Linked DNA regions of Nothobranchius furzeri. The protein of the gene in region 1 interacts with the protein of each later gene in a pairwise test. Links are inferred from orthologs where the notes say so. Each region holds a gene or a part of one and is shown in the gene's direction. Other genes may lie near its edges. The genes, in order: snx15, rabac1 and reep6.

The links.
Region 2: the proteins of snx15 (region 1) and rabac1 interact in binary tests that used the Homo sapiens proteins (3 or more experiments, as listed by UniProt). The two-hybrid records come from large-scale screens. The link is inferred for Nothobranchius furzeri from reciprocal best matches to the Homo sapiens genes SNX15 and RABAC1.
Region 3: the proteins of snx15 (region 1) and reep6 interact in binary tests that used the Homo sapiens proteins (3 or more experiments, as listed by UniProt). The two-hybrid records come from large-scale screens. The link is inferred for Nothobranchius furzeri from reciprocal best matches to the Homo sapiens genes SNX15 and REEP6.

What each region holds. Positions count from the first base shown.
Region 1 is NC_091754.1:59,456,464-59,461,536, reverse strand, and holds the start of snx15 (sorting nexin-15), read left to right. Parts: upstream 1-1,863; 5' UTR 1,864-1,989; coding exon 1,990-2,088; intron 2,089-2,398; coding exon 2,399-2,555; intron 2,556-2,798; coding exon 2,799-2,914; intron 2,915-2,994; coding exon 2,995-3,271; intron 3,272-3,351; coding exon 3,352-3,525; intron 3,526-5,073. UniProt on the Homo sapiens protein: May be involved in several stages of intracellular trafficking. Overexpression of SNX15 disrupts the normal trafficking of proteins from the plasma membrane to recycling endosomes or the TGN.
Region 2 is NC_091745.1:74,795,010-74,800,140, reverse strand, and holds rabac1 (prenylated Rab acceptor protein 1), read left to right. Parts: upstream 1-2,071; 5' UTR 2,072-2,206; intron 2,207-3,197; 5' UTR 3,198-3,211; coding exon 3,212-3,333; intron 3,334-3,410; coding exon 3,411-3,623; intron 3,624-3,766; coding exon 3,767-3,864; intron 3,865-4,071; coding exon 4,072-4,173; intron 4,174-4,292; coding exon 4,293-4,381; 3' UTR 4,382-4,928; downstream 4,929-5,131. UniProt on the Homo sapiens protein: General Rab protein regulator required for vesicle formation from the Golgi complex. May control vesicle docking and fusion by mediating the action of Rab GTPases to the SNARE complexes.
Region 3 is NC_091748.1:78,702,302-78,707,432, reverse strand, and holds the start of reep6 (receptor expression-enhancing protein 6), read left to right. Parts: upstream 1-2,243; coding exon 2,244-2,376; intron 2,377-5,131. UniProt on the Homo sapiens protein: Required for correct function and survival of retinal photoreceptors. Required for retinal development.

The sequences.
Region 1 (5,073 bases):
CAAATTGCATACAAAATTGAACAAAGAAGATGAAACCTATGCCAGGGGGTGTACTACAGAAATGTTACACACATCCAAATAAATTATAGGTAGTGCAAATAGTTATAGTTTTTAAAGCTTTTTTATTTAGCGATCCACTAATCAATTTTATGTAAGATAGAGTGTCACTATAATAGTGCTTGAAATTAGGTTTTTGGTTACTATACTTGCATTTGTGGAGATAGAATTTAGCTAGAATAATTAACAAATTTATAACAAAGTATACATCTTCCTTTCTGTGCTTGCGAAAAAAACAAAATACAACATTTTCCCGTTTTAAAACAAAGTCCTTGCAGAGCTGTCCGATAATAAATCTGCTAAAGTCTTTCCAAAACGTTGTAGCATGTGAACAGATCCAGAAGAGGTGCTGAACGGTCTCAGGGTGGCTTCCACAAAAACAGCAATTCACATCAATGTCCCTATTAAACTTTGTCATATAGTGATTAGCTGGTTAACACTTATGTAGTATTTTGAATGAAACTTCTTTGACCTTATTTGTCACCAAATACTTATTAGGAATGGTCCATACTCTTTTCCAACTGACGTCAGTGACAAAGGAATTCCAATAAAAAATCACATATGGAACAGATAAGGATTCTCTCTGAAATGAAGCACGGATATTCCTATTACTGTTTTTGTGCTCGATAAGACAAACTTTTCCCACGTATGTGTTCACGGGGTCGGGAGGAGAAATAGGCGGTACAACTGGTAGAACACCTTTAAAAAGCATTCTAACACCGATGGTAGTTGCAGCAAACAGTGTGGCATATTCTTTGGGAAATGCTGGAAATTTATATGTGTTTAGGAGTTCTGTGTAAGACATGAGCTGTCCATTAGTATTATACAACTGATTCACAAAAATTATCTGCTTCTCAACTCAATTAGAGAAAAACAATGACTTGTTTTTATACACTATGTTCCTGTTATTCCAGATCAAGTATGTATGGGGAGTAAAATTATGTTTATAAATCAGTGACCGGGCTAATAGAACTTGTTTGTGAAACATTGAAAGTTTTTCTGGCAGCTTTCCTACATTGTAGTCACAACCCAGGATAAAAGTTAGACCACCAAATTTAGAGAAGATATGGTGAAGAATAAAATTCCAAATGGAGACAGGATTTTTAAGAAAATGTTTTGTCCATTTAATTTTAAACGTGTAGTTTAAGGTAGTGAAGTCCAAGATATTGAGTCCTCCATGTTGATAGTCATTCATTTTTACACTCTTTCTAATGTAATGTGTTTTGTTTTTCCACAAGAAGTTGAAGAGCATTCGGTCAATTTCCCCACAAGTTCTGTTGTCCACATGCAGAGATGTGGCAGCATAAGTCAGGCGAGACAAACCTTCTGCTTAGGAGAGCAACACTCGTCCTCTTAAACTTAAATCTCTTTGTAACCACTGATTTAACTTAGATTGAGTTTTTTAATTATTGGAGAGAAATTAGAGGTAATTCTGTTTTTTTTATCTTTACAGATAATCAAGCCTAAATATGTTACTTCGTGTTGAATAGCTATATTACAAATACTATGATCATTACAATTGTTGATAGGTAATAAGTGACATTTGTTTAAATTTAATATGAATCCAGAAGCTTTTGAGAAGTCATCTAAAATTTTCAGGGCAATTGACACCTGACTAGCATTTTTAAGAAAAATGGTGGTATCATCTGCCAGCTGGCTGATGACAACCTCTCTGTCTGCTATGTTTATACCTTTCATAGGACTATTAGCAATATAAGAGGCGAGAATTTGGGCCCAAGGAGAACGGTCTATTGTAGTTTGCGACGTCGCTTCCATTATACGTCATCGCGTTTTGCGGACGTACCCAACCAGGAAGTGTCCGTGGCGCGTAGTAACTGAAGCAGCATCACAACAGAGCGCGTCTCCACGATTTCGGACTGGTTCCGTTGTGGTTCTGAGTTTTATTTAGTCAGAACCGAACCGACAGAGAACATGTCGAGGAAAGTCAGCGAAGACTATTATCGCTTCTTTACGGTGACTGACCCGCGGACACACGAGAAGGGGCACACCGAGTACCGAGTGTCAGCCCGGGTTAGTTTCTGCTCTTTATCCTTTTATCTGCCGTTTCGGGGACTGTAGTTACACTGTAATTAACTCTAATAACGCTAAATGGAGTTTCTGACACCATTTACGTTTGTAACAGAACAGAAAAACAAGTTACCTGAGTAAAACAGACAGATATCCGATCCGTGCTCAGATATGAAAACAAACAGCGGATCCTTTAGCAGAGCCAGCGAGGCTAACACAGAGAGAACTCGTGACTGAGCTCCTGATCCCTCATGACCTCTTTAATGCTCTGGAGCAGAAAGGATCCATCTTCACTTCTGAATGTGTTTGGCAGTTTGTGTCCAAGCGTCATCCCGAAGACGTGAAGGAGGTGGTGGTGTGGAAGAGGTTCTCAGAGCTGAAGAAGCTCCACGGAGAGCTGGTCTACACGCACAGGAACCTGTTCAGGAGGCACGAGGACTTCCCAGCTTTCCCACGAGCGCAGGTGTTTGGTACGTGGAGCGAGGACGGTTACAAGCAGCGGACTGGTTTCATTCAGAGCTGCGTCAGGATCAGACAGAAGGGCTGCTTGCTCCTGTCGGTCTGCCGCCATCGTTCTTGTGACATCTCCCCCTCTGTGGTAACCAAAGGGGAAGTTTGTAGGTGGAGATGGAAAATGCGGCTCTGAAAGAGTAAACACTAGCTTAGTAGGTCGTCTATCTACAGTTCATCAACCCTTCCTTTGTTTGCTCCAGGAAGGTTTGACGAAGCTGTGATTGAGGAGAGGAGGAAGGCGGCAGAAGCCATGCTTCTGTTCACCGCCAGCATACCCGCGCTCTACAACAGCCCACAGCTCAAGGACTTCTTCGGGGTGAGGAGGGCAAAATAAACTAGTCTCTCATAGAAATGCTGTACTGTGACTGTTGTCATGTCACTTCTCCCTTCCTCCAGGGTGGAGAAGTCACTAGACCGCTTGATTCCTCTCCCCTGTCCCTGGGTGGGGCTCTCCCTCCCCCGCTTATCCCCCTGCCCAAGCGGAGAGCCTCAGACTGTGAGCCTGCTGAAGAGGAGGAGGGCAGAGAGGCGCCCACCTTACCCCAGGACCTGGGCACCAACATCAGCCTAGTGGTGGGGGAACCGGAGCTAGCTGCTGAGGCCTACAGCGAGGTGGAGAGATGTCCCAGAGAAGAAGAAGAAGATGTTAGCGACGCAGAACCAGAAGATCGGGGTATAGATGTTAGAATGCGTAGAAATCTTTTCTTTCTTGTCTTGTCGTTTTCACCTGTTTGTTCTCGTTTCGTGCTCCAGCTTCCTCCCCCGAGCCGTCTCCAGTGAGACTCCATCGATCAGCAGCGGCTCAAGAGGAGTTTGACTCTCTGTTTGACGGTTTGGAGGAAGACCGGGCCCTGTCCTCCAAGGACGAGGGACCCCCTCCCCTCTCAGATAACGACCTGGCTGTCTTTGATCCCTGCTATAAACAAGGTGGACAAACATTTACTTTAGTAAACAAACGTTACGCTTTTCCACACCTCCATTAGTTAATGTGAACAACTTGAGGCCGTTTCATATCCTAACGTTGCCTTTTCCAGCACCGGTCTTGTTTTCTTTACTTCCTGTAACTTTTGCCTTCATGACTCCTGAGCAGTGATGGGAGTAACGCTGTTTAAGTATAACGGCGTAACTAACGGCGTTCTTTTTTAGGTAAGGGAATAATCTAATTAATTACTTCTCCCACCGTTGCACCGCCGTTACCGTTACTGGGGACGGGAGGTTGTGCGTTACTATGTGCTTGTCGAACGCTGAGCAGCAGTGTGAGGCTTTCTGACCGCCACACTTCAGCTGCAGCCAGGGAGAGAGAGGTGTCGGTAAGGCGCTTACAAACACGATGATGATTGGCCGGGTGGGCGGAGACCCTCACGGTCTCAGTCTCTGCCTGCTGTAGACACAACAGAGCAGTGATGGGAGTAACGCCGTTTAAAATAACCGCGTTACTAAAAAAAAATATTTCTTTCAGTAACGAGCAAACTAATTAATTACCGTCTTCTTTTATCAAACGTGGTTTCTGTTACTGATAAGGAAATGCGTGCGTTAAGCAGCGCGGTGTGTTGAAGCTGTCATCAGCTGATCAGGAGCTAAAGAGGCAGATGTTTTCATCCAAGAGCATCACGGCCGTGAAGAACGAGGAAGACGTGATGAATATCTACGGCTGCAGGTGTGGATCTTCTTAGCGTGACAGCGGGACGTCCTGAAGGTCCGCTCACCTGTTCACCGCTCAGACGTCCTGATCTTCTACCTTCCTAGATCATCCAGCTGTAACCTGTTCCTGATCATGTCTTTAGTCCCGCTGTAACACTGATGCATCAGTCTCAGACGTCATGGAGCTCAGGTGTTATTAGAACTACCTGTGTGTGTTACCACCCAGCTTCAGCTCTTCTGTGGTTGGGTCTGACCCACGTTAGTAAATGTGAGTCCTCCATCAGGCTTGTGCCTCTTCACGTGTCATTTTAAAGGATTTTAAATTTAAAGTTAAAGTCCAACTAGTGGACACACACACAGGTGTGTGTGCAAAATTTGTTCTCCGCATTTGACCCATCCCCTGGGGGAGCGGTGAGCTGCAGACACAGCCGCGCTCGGGAACCATTTGGTGGTTTAACCCCCCAATCCAACCCCTTAATGCTGAGTGTCAAGCAGGGAGGCATTGGGTCCCATTTTTTCAAAGTCTTTGGATTGACCCGACCAGGAATTGAACCCCTGATCTCCCAGTCTCAGGGCGGACACTCTACCACTAGGCCACTGAGAAAGGTTAATTTATTTATTTATTTAACCGTTACTAGACTAGCAGCAACAGAAATGCTACTAAAACACACAATTATGTGAAGCTGGAAAAATTAAACTACTGTACAAAATTACATTCATTTCTGTAATTTAACTAGACTGAGAGACCATTTAAAGGCTCGGGAACCTTTACAGGTGTTTCTATTTGCAGTTTTAAATGTTAGCTGATTGGGGTCTTGTTAGATATCACACAGA
Region 2 (5,131 bases), on another chromosome or scaffold:
TGACCTGTGTGTTAAATCCGATTTAGTCGAATCCTCAAAAAACACAACTTGACGTGACACACAGTCTTGCAGAAATGTTAGTACCAAGAGTAATGAATGTCTCTCAACAACGGCCACGACTAATTTAAGGTCCATATCTGTAAAGCTGGCTGAGTTACAGCAATTTGATCTTTGCTAAAACCAATTAAATGTGGCAGCAACCCTGATTCTGTGTAAGTTCAATGGTTACGTAGGATCATGAGATAACATGACCTCCCAAATGCCTCCGGGCTCCACCTTTCAGTGACAAACAAATAAACAGCTTTAATAAACATGTTAGCTTAACAGTTTCTATCTATAGCAACATTTACGTCTAGATTAATATACTTAAAGAATAATTGTTGCATTTAATTTGGTTCCTGGAGATTATCTGAAGACTGCTAACAACTCACATCCTACAGTAAGAGGCGTCCAGTGTCTAAACTTTATTCAGTACTTCATGCAAGTTTAAAACTATTTTATTTTTCTAATTGAAACAGCATATTGTAGTTTTCAACAAGAAAACTAAAATAACTTTATTTGGCACAAACTTGAATTGTAGAATTGTGCATTCTTTTTCCTGTCTTTTGGAAAAATCTCCGACCTCATGCATACTCCAGATACAACTCATAAATCTTTAGAGAAAGGGCTTGAAGGACTTCCACTTACTATTTAAGGAAAACGAGGTTCTTAAAAGCAACTTTTGTCAAAAAAAAAAAAAAAAAAGAAAAGAAGAAAACTCATTTTCAAGCTATTTTGGGAGATATTAGGAAGTTAGGAAGTTTTGGGGGATGTTAACCTAATTTAGTAATTTAGCAATATTTTAACACAATTATCAATTGTTTGAATAAACGTTCTCCAGTTTGGTTTATTTGCTGTTATTTACCCTATTTTGTTGAGCATTTTTTTAAATAATCTATTAATACTGATTGTTATTGGAAATTAAACAAAAATATAAAATATAATTAGCTTTTTTGGGGAAAATGCAACTATTTACACCATATTTTCTGACATTATTTATACTTATAGTCGACTAAGTTATAATATATATGTGAGATTTTGAAAAAATATGACATAGAAATGTATTTTCCTCGGGAGTCAGGATATAAAATGTTAATGTACGTGAGCTCAGTGTGTGTGGAGCTGAACATTCCTGCCTTTTACCGTTTCAGCTTGACGCTCTCCACACACACGAACCAGTCAGCGGTGTCGTTTTTATCTTCAGGCAAAATGTGTATGAAAGCAGCTGGAGGCTCCTGAAACGACTCGTTCCTCTTGTGTTACGGTTTTACGCTTTATACGAGTTTATGTATCCTGTCACGGTTTCTGTGGAGAAAAAAACGGTCATTAAACACCCAGCCAGGACAGCTGTTGAGCTGAGTAAGCTAAAGAGCCGAATAAGCTAAAGCTAACGGAGCCAGCGTAGGCTAATATGCTGCTATGGCGCTGTGTCCCCCTTTAGTGCATTTGTAAAAAAAAACGCGTACATTTTGTTTTAGCATTGAAACGTTACTTTATTAATGACTAACAAAAACAGAACTGTCATAAACCCCAAGGTCTGAAGATTACATTTAACAACACGTAAAAACATTCCAACAGCTAAATTTGATAAGATAATTAATAGCGCCTCACCTTCTAATGTTTGTTTCCTTTCTTTCGCTGGCGGATCTAGCAACTTCCACAGTGCCGCGTGCCCAGTGACGGCAGCACCACAACACTCGTCTATCTACCAATCACAGCCTCTTTGTTTGTTACATGACGTAAGGTCACGTTTTTACCATTTCTGATCTGCAGTCAGTTTTTCGTGCTTGTGTGGTTTTGAGCAGCCACCGCAGAAAACAGGCAGCCGATCTCAGGTCGGCTTTTTCAACAGATGTGTTTTCGGCTGTTAAGAGAAAAAACTCCGTTTTTTGGATGAAGTAAAAATAATGCAAAAAAATAAATAAATAAAATAAAAAGTAATACAAATGAAAAGTTCCACCTGTGTTGTGTAACACAAAATTCGAAGTACTCTATGTAGCCAGTAGGTGGCCCTGCCTAGAGTCAGCGAAGTAGGAAGTTTTTTCTTCTTCTCCAGCAGCCACATCACTTCCGAGATCCAGAACAGCAACAAAAGACAGCTCAGGCTGTCTGGTGAAACTTCTGCCTACATTTTGGTGAATGATTTAAGGGTTTAGCATTTTGGCAGGTATGTTGTAATTTAAATTCTTATTTTAAAAACAAGTGAAAATTACGTTGACGTTAAATAAAATCCGGAAGTAGACGTAAACATTAGCTCATAAGCTAGCATTTTACATTTACATTCAGGTTTTAAATAGACTCGTCGTGAGTATAATATTTATATTTGAAATTGCTACTTCTAGACACTGTTGTTTGGTAACGAGAGTTTCTCGGTTATCCTGTTTATTTAGTGATGTGGCACTGGCCGGGCCCTGTTTCTACTTCTTCCTGTTTCTCTAACTAAGGATCGCCATTAAACTAGAAAGACATGTAATCATTAGACAGTGATTGTTTATACACTTGAGACCGTTTTAGATTATGACGTGTCAAATGTGGCGTTTTAAAATACGAAAAATCAAAAGTTAGCTCCATTGACATTTGCGATTATTGCTTTCAAAACAGCTTAAGAACCAGGGAGGTTTACTGGGAACACGAGGAATATGAAAGATAAAATAAGAAGTGTTGGGGTTAAAACATGTGTCTACAGTAGATCTGAAGGTCAATGAAAATGGTGCAGTTATAGAAACGACCATATGTCAAGTTTTCAGTCAATATATCTTTTGGAATCCGTTTTGTGTGTGTGTGTGTGTGTGTGTGTGTGTGTGTGTGTGTGTGTGTGTGTGTGTGTGTGTGTGCTAAAGTACCTTTTTTTAATTTCTCAAATTGTTTAATCTTTGGTATTTTGTCATCGATTCTAATTTAAAAAATAGGATTTAAATGTCCACTACACTACACTACACCAGTTTCAGAAATGTTTTATGCCTGAAGGATTTATAGACTAGAAATAAGGGGCTTCATAGGCAAAAAATAATAATAATAATACATCTACCAGAAAATGAGTGGAAACGCAACCAAAGTCTAAATAAGATGCTACACCGTTGCATCAAATAAAAATGAGTAAATCCAGGCTAATTGTTTTTGTAAAAGTTTAGTCCACATTCAATGTGATTCTGTTTCAGTCAACAGTCTCTAAATGTTATCTGGAGTGCCTAAAGGGGAGAACGTCATGGTGGACATGGACAGCAAAGCTGGAGATTTGTTCATCCCAGATGAGGCCCATCCAACCGGCACAGGGGGCATCGGAGTCCTCTCAAGGTGTGAACCACCATGCTTTCATATTTTTACCCTGGCTTTGGTGTGTTGATGATATTCTATTTTGTTTATTTTTATAGGCTCTGGCTTCCTAAAGGCATCTCGGCCAGCATGGCTAAGGAGTGGTTCGACAGGCGCAGGTTGTCCATCCGACCGTGGGCCAGCTTTGTAGACCAGCGCAAATTTTCAAAACCTCGCAACTTTGGAGAGTTGTGTCAGAGGGTGGTTAAAAATGTGGAAGTTTACAACAGCAACTATACCTTCATATTTCTGGGGCTCATCCTCTACTGCATGTAAGACCTAATCAAAGAGAGCTTCATTAAAACAAAAAATGTTAATTAGATCATCTGTGAGACTCTGGCTTCTAGAAAAATGTCGACAGTCTGCTTTAAATAGCTCCAGCCTGACAGCCCTGTTCATTTTTCCTGCTCCTCAGTATCAGCTCGCCCATGCTGCTGATTGCCTTAGCCGTGTATGCTGGTGCCTTCTACGCCATCCACCTTAAGTCTCTGGAGTCCAAACTGGTTGTTCTCGGTGAGTACATTTCCTACAAATCCATAATCTTTTCAAATTTACCAGATTTAGTTTTTTTTTTTTTTTAACATTCAAGGTCTATTTTTTTTTATTCTGTGTGAAACCTTTTAAATATGTCATCCATGCCTGTTCTGGATTTAACCCACGCTGCATTTAGCACCACAAACCCTATTTTTAATATTTTTCTTCATATTTCTTGTTTATCAGGCAGAGAACTGACAGTCCCACACCAGATGAGTCTGGCTGGAGCCGTTTCTCTGCCCGTTTTCTGGTTGGCAGGAGCCGGAGCCGCTGTGTTTTGGGTTCTCGGTAAGCTGAACATGATTTGTTCTTTCCTCGTAATCTTTTTCTGATGTTTCATCTTGATTAAGAACTAAAATCGTTTCTTTTTACATCCATTTTTCCTGTTCTGTGTGGTTTCCTGTCAGGAGCAACTCTGTTTGTGATCGGCTCTCATGCTGCGTTCCGAGAGTTGGAGGCGTCGGACCTGGATGAGCTCCTCATGGAGCCGGTCTAAAGAGCTGCTCCATGATCAGTCCTCGTTTTGACCCTTTGAGAATCTCCTTGAAGATTTTTTTATATCTATACATATATCCTTCTTCCTCATGTTTACCTTATGGCATTGTATTACGAATGCACCTTATGTTGCATGATAAATAACTGTTGTTACACAAATGCATAAATAATGAATTTCTTATTGCTTGAAGCACATTATTCGCCTTTATCTGCATATATTAAGCCTGCGATGCCTCTGGTTTGTGCCATGAAGCCTCTTGCTCTTTAGCGGAGCATCTGCGCTGAATTCCTAGCTGTGGGCATCCTGCAAAGTAAATTCTGACGGCACCATCCAAACTGCTGGTATCGACGCATGTCCGAAGGTCAAGTGCCATTTAGTTTTTTAATTAGTTTTGAACATTATGTGGCTTCTCTTTTTATTTATTTGATCAGCTCTGGTTCAGACATTCTGGTGGGAAAGGTCACGAAAAGCACATTTTAGAAATTCATTTGTAAATTATGCGTTCTGTGCTGAAACGTTGGAAGTGCAATAAATTCTGTTACTGTTACTTGTCTTTAGTTTTATTCTCGTAAGAGTTGGCGTGTACATGTGCACGCACGGGGCAGTCGCTGCGTCGGACTCGGTGGCCCTCGGCACATATTTCTGTATGTGTTGTTATTCCAGTCCAGTCTGAATAAGACAAACCCACGACTCCTCTTCTCCCTGTATCTCTTAAGTGCACCAAACTGCAGCGTGCACCCCCCCCCCCCC
Region 3 (5,131 bases), on another chromosome or scaffold:
TGACTTCACACATTTATCCGGGGCTAAAGAGGACGCTACTGGGCTGTTCTTCTCAAAAGGTTAAAGTTCAACTGAAGCAGTTGTCAAAGTGGGAGTCTGTCCATCTGTTCACGGCTGCAGACGGAACAGATTCATGATGGACACCTGGACCCTCTCCAGCTTCTCCTGGTGGGCCACGTCAGAGAAGACTCCCTCTGGGTCTCCTCCACAGACGTGTAATAATCCTGGACAAAGCCTCCCACTTCCCTCCTCATGAGGCCAAAAGGGCGGTTCCCACGTACGCCATCTTGGCTGTGTCACACGTGTCGTTGCCATGCCCAGACAATCCAACAATCCAGGAAGTAAATGGCCGTGTTCGAGATGAGCCAGTTCTGCGCAGATTAGAATACCAGTGATCGGCGTGCGGTGCATGCCGGTTGGATCCGACTTAAAGCTGCATTCCGGAGTTTTCCCCTTTCAAAAATGATGTATGATTGTTCAGAATCTGTTAAAGTGATTATCCCATCATGTGCTGTGATCAAATGTAAGCAATATGTCTTTTTTTTTTTTTTTTGCTAAACACGCCCCCTGCCCCACAGAGCTCCATTCAATAGGGAACTGAGCGCCGACCAGAGCTAACCAACTGTGTTAGACTACCGCTTACGTGCTTCAAATTTAAGGAATACCTCGGCTGATGCAGAGTTGATGAACGTTTCACGGACAAGTAAGTCTCTAAAATATAAATATATGAAAACACAACATGACATGAGAATAATACTCGTAAAACAGCGTGTTTTAGCTCCGTTTGTCAGCTGCAGAAGCACATTTATAACCAGAAACGTGAAGTCGCCATCTTAAACAAACAGAGGAACAGACTTTTTGTGTGATATGCTTGTCAGCCACTAGATGGTGCCATCAGATAAGAGAAATACTCCGGAAAGAAGCTTCAACGCCGACTTTTGATCCAAACATCCTGTGGTGGAACGTTAAATGATAGTTGGTCACATGTATTCTGTAAATCATGTTACGTTGATGATGACAACTATACAGGCCATACAGAGAAATGTGATTACGTTCTTTTGTCACGTTTCCTATGAGCACACTAAAACTACAGCTGCTAACCTTTACTTATTGTTACAGTCATGTCTCCATAAGCACATGTCTACAACACATGATCTCCACACGCATGTGAGGATGTGTTTCAGTTGCTAACAGGCACCAGAGGGTTACGCAATTATGAACGCTAATGCGATTTCTTCAGCCATCGTCACCCGCAAGCTACATGTAGAGAAACCTGTCCCACTTAAACGCAGGCTTTTAGCCACTCCCACCGCTGCGTCCGTCTGCTCTCACCTGTTTTCCAGGCGAGGCGCCGCTCATCTCAAACAAGGCCATTCTCACATGCTTGTGAAGGCACCCGAATGTGCGAATGGGGATATGACTGTAACACATTATAAGTAAAAGTTACCAGCTGTAGTTCTAGTGTGCTCCAAAAAAAAAAAAAAAAATATATATATATATATATATATATATAAATAAAACCATTTAAGGTTTAAAAAAACCTACATGGCCCCTTGATGTTTTGTGTTGTTTCTGCACAACTGGCATTTAAGGGCACACTCTGCAGTTTTTCTTGCTTTTAGCACCCCCTAGTGTCCATTATTAATTATCTGTGGTCCAAAATGAAACCAATCTCCTCGCTGTGCCTTTTTCTTTTTAACACCCAAATCTAATAGCTGAAATGTCTCCCCAGCCTTCTTTAGTGTCTACAGGAGTGATTCATCACTAAATTAAACAAACAACTGTGTCCATGATCTAAAACAAACATGCTGGCAGCAGCACAACAGGCGGTGGCCCAGGACTCTGAGGTATCCTGGCCACAGAGGGCGGTGGGGTCTGAGTGACATTTCACTGTTTCAAGATGCTGATTCAAAAATATGAACAACTTTGCCTTTAGGATGAGTAAATCTGTTTTGTGTTTGATGGAGAATAAAAACGAGAAATGGAGAAAAGGCAAAGACTGAAACTTTAAACAACTATATAACCATAACATAATCATCGGGGGAAGTTTTAATGTTTCTATCTAAGAATGAGACTTTTGAATGAATGATTTTGGGATTAACGGATGCTCACGAGGCACCTCCTCCCTCACCGCTCCACCTCCTCATTACAACAGATTGTTGCTGTGAGAGGATTACTACCTGCCAGCTGCCGGTCCAGGATCCTTTCCTCTCTGCTTCTCTTTGAGGACGTTGTTGGAGACCATGGGACTGCTGGGTGTTCTCACCTCCATCAAGGACCGAGCAGAAAAGTTTCTGAACGAGAAGAACGTGGTGACGGATTTTCTGGGGAAGGTGGAGGAAAAGACGGGGATCAAGAAAAAGGTCCTGGCTGTGGGTATGTGAGGAAGCTCCTGCTGTGTTCAGGTGATGAAAGGTGTCCGTGGTTCTGGGTGGATTCTGTCCAGGTGTGACACAACGGTACCTGCCTGGACGAGTCCGAGAAAAGAGGATTCAGTTAATCCTCCTGTGAGGAGATGCAGCCAAAGCTTCTGTTTATTATTCTGCATAATCGGACTTTAAACTGCCTCCTCATCTCACTTTTATGTTCCTTTCAGTTGCATCTGATTTCCTGTTTGTTGGTTTTGGTTCAAACAGAAACCCTCTGAATTTGACATCGTTAGACGTTTCCTTTTGTTGATCCGCCTTCCCCCAGACCGTGTTCTGGTGAAGGTTCCCAGCAGGTCCTGGAGTTAAAGCGGCTGAAACTCTTTATTTTCCTACAACTCGGCTCTGAGTCCCATCCTGACACAGCTTCAGAAGTCCACATTTTAGTGGCTAATCTTTATCATGCACTTCCTGTTTTAAATCCCAAACTACGGGAGTGTCTTGTGAGCTGCTTTTCCTTTAAGGAGCTCTGGCTACAGCCCGTGCCCTACAACGTTCTGCTCAAACTTAGAAAACTCCTGGGATGACAAGCAAGATGAAGTCCTGCTGTCCTGAACATTTTTATTCATCTCTGGAGCCTCTCCTCCTGTTGATTCTTACTAAACATCTGTGAAATCTTCTGAACCCTGTCTACTAAGCAGAGTGCACTTGCAGGAAGTGTGCAGTAAGGCTTCGAGTGTGCGGTATACAAGTGTGCAAATAATCGCTGAACTGGAAAAGGGAGTGTTGCGTGATCGACCGCAATGCATGCAGGGATGCTGGTCACTGAGCTACTTTTTATAAAAACCTTTATTAACAACTTTCAAACAAACAACCAAACATCCATCCGTTTTCGGCCCGCTTATTCGGGGATGGGTCACGGGGGCAGTAGTCTAACTGGGAGGCCCACCCTTCCCTCTCCCCAGCTACTTGGGCCAGCTCCTCTGGGGGAATCCTGAGACGTTCCCTGGCCAGCAGAGAGACATAGTCCCTCCAGCGTGTCCTGGGTCTTCCTTTAGATCTCCTCCCAGTCGGACCTCACCAGGGAGGCGTCCAGAAGGCATCCTAAGCAGATGCCCGAGCCACCTTAACTGGCTCCTCTCGATCGAGAAGTTGGCTCTCTGTAACAACCAATTATTTAAGTAAATTTGTTTTGTCTAAAGCATTCAGAGCATCAAATAATTATCCTACAGTGAACTACTTTTTTATTTGACTGTGCTACCTTTTTTACTTTAGTGTCTGCCCTGGGATTGGGAGATGGGGGTTCAAATCCCAATCGGGTCATTCCAAAGACTTTTAAAAAATGGGACCCAATACCTCCCAGCTTGACACCATCGACATATATATATATATATATATATATATATATATATATAGTGGACGATTCCTGTACATAGGCTCGTATGAGAAGTTTTTAATTTGAAATGGGAGGTGGCCACCACCGCCATTTTGATTGTGTCACACGTCTCGTCGCGCCCAGACAATCCCATAAAAGGGAAAAGAGGTGGAGCTGAAGGTGGGGCTGTAAGGCTGGGATCAAATGATGACACCCGTCGAACAGTGATGTAGCTACAAGCTAAACCAAAGCCAACGCGGAGGGGGGAGCTAAGCTAACAGAGGTAGCTTCCTAGCAAACTGTGCACAACACCGGAGCTTCTGAGTCGGAGATGTGCCAGGCTGACCGCTGGGTAAAACCGGGTGGAACACAGAGGTTTCCAACCGAGAGCTCCACAAGCCGGCAGCCGCGCAGCAGACAGGCGCCGCTGCGATGCGCCGAGCTGCCGCTGAGGGGAGGGGACCATACCGATAGTGGGAACCCAGCTCCACCAACATGTTATATTTCAACCCATTTTCTAAAGTGCAGCATTATGTTAAATGCACTGGGTTTTACCCTATTACATTTAAATGTCATGGTTAAACAGTACATGTTAAAATCTAAGCTCAGCTCGGCAGTGACCTAAAATACATAAATATAATTTTACTTACCGAAAAAATGAAGTGGAGACTCCTTGGACGCTCTATTAGTGCAATTAATGCCACAGCAAGTCATTTTGTCCAACAATTGCACAAAAATATCCAAAAAAGAACACAAACGCTACAACTAATGGTCTAAGTTGAGAGACGGAAAATGACGGAACAGTTTTTAAGCGAGACCGAGGCTCTACTGAGGCCTTTCCACGGAGCTAGCTCTGTGGTCACGTGGGTCTGAGGCTCATTAATTATACAGAATTTTAGACTTTTAATACACTTAAACAGAAGAGTGAGAAAAACATTCACCCCCCTCAGAGTTGTCATGAGTGTAAACTAGATCATTTAAACCAAAAACATGTTCTGGTACCAGGCTGTAAACATACCATGCCAACGTTATTTCTATAGCACAGTTTAAGACACAGCGTGAGAGCTGACCGAAGTGCTGAACAGGCAGGATCAATTAAAACAAAAGTAAAAACAATAGGACGATAAAACACAACAATAAAAACTATAAAATCCTAATAGGATGACATGGATCACTGTCTAAAAGACAAGTCATAAAAGTAGGTTTTTAAACGACATTTAAAACAGGCAGAGAGGACGCCAGCCTGACTGTACTGGGCAGTGAGTCCTAGAGCATGGGGGCAGCATGGACAAACTCACGTTCACCTCGTGATTTGTAGGCCATCCGGGGAGTGCAAAGCAGTAGACGGTCAGCTGACCTCAACATACGAGTAGGTACATATGGAGTCAGC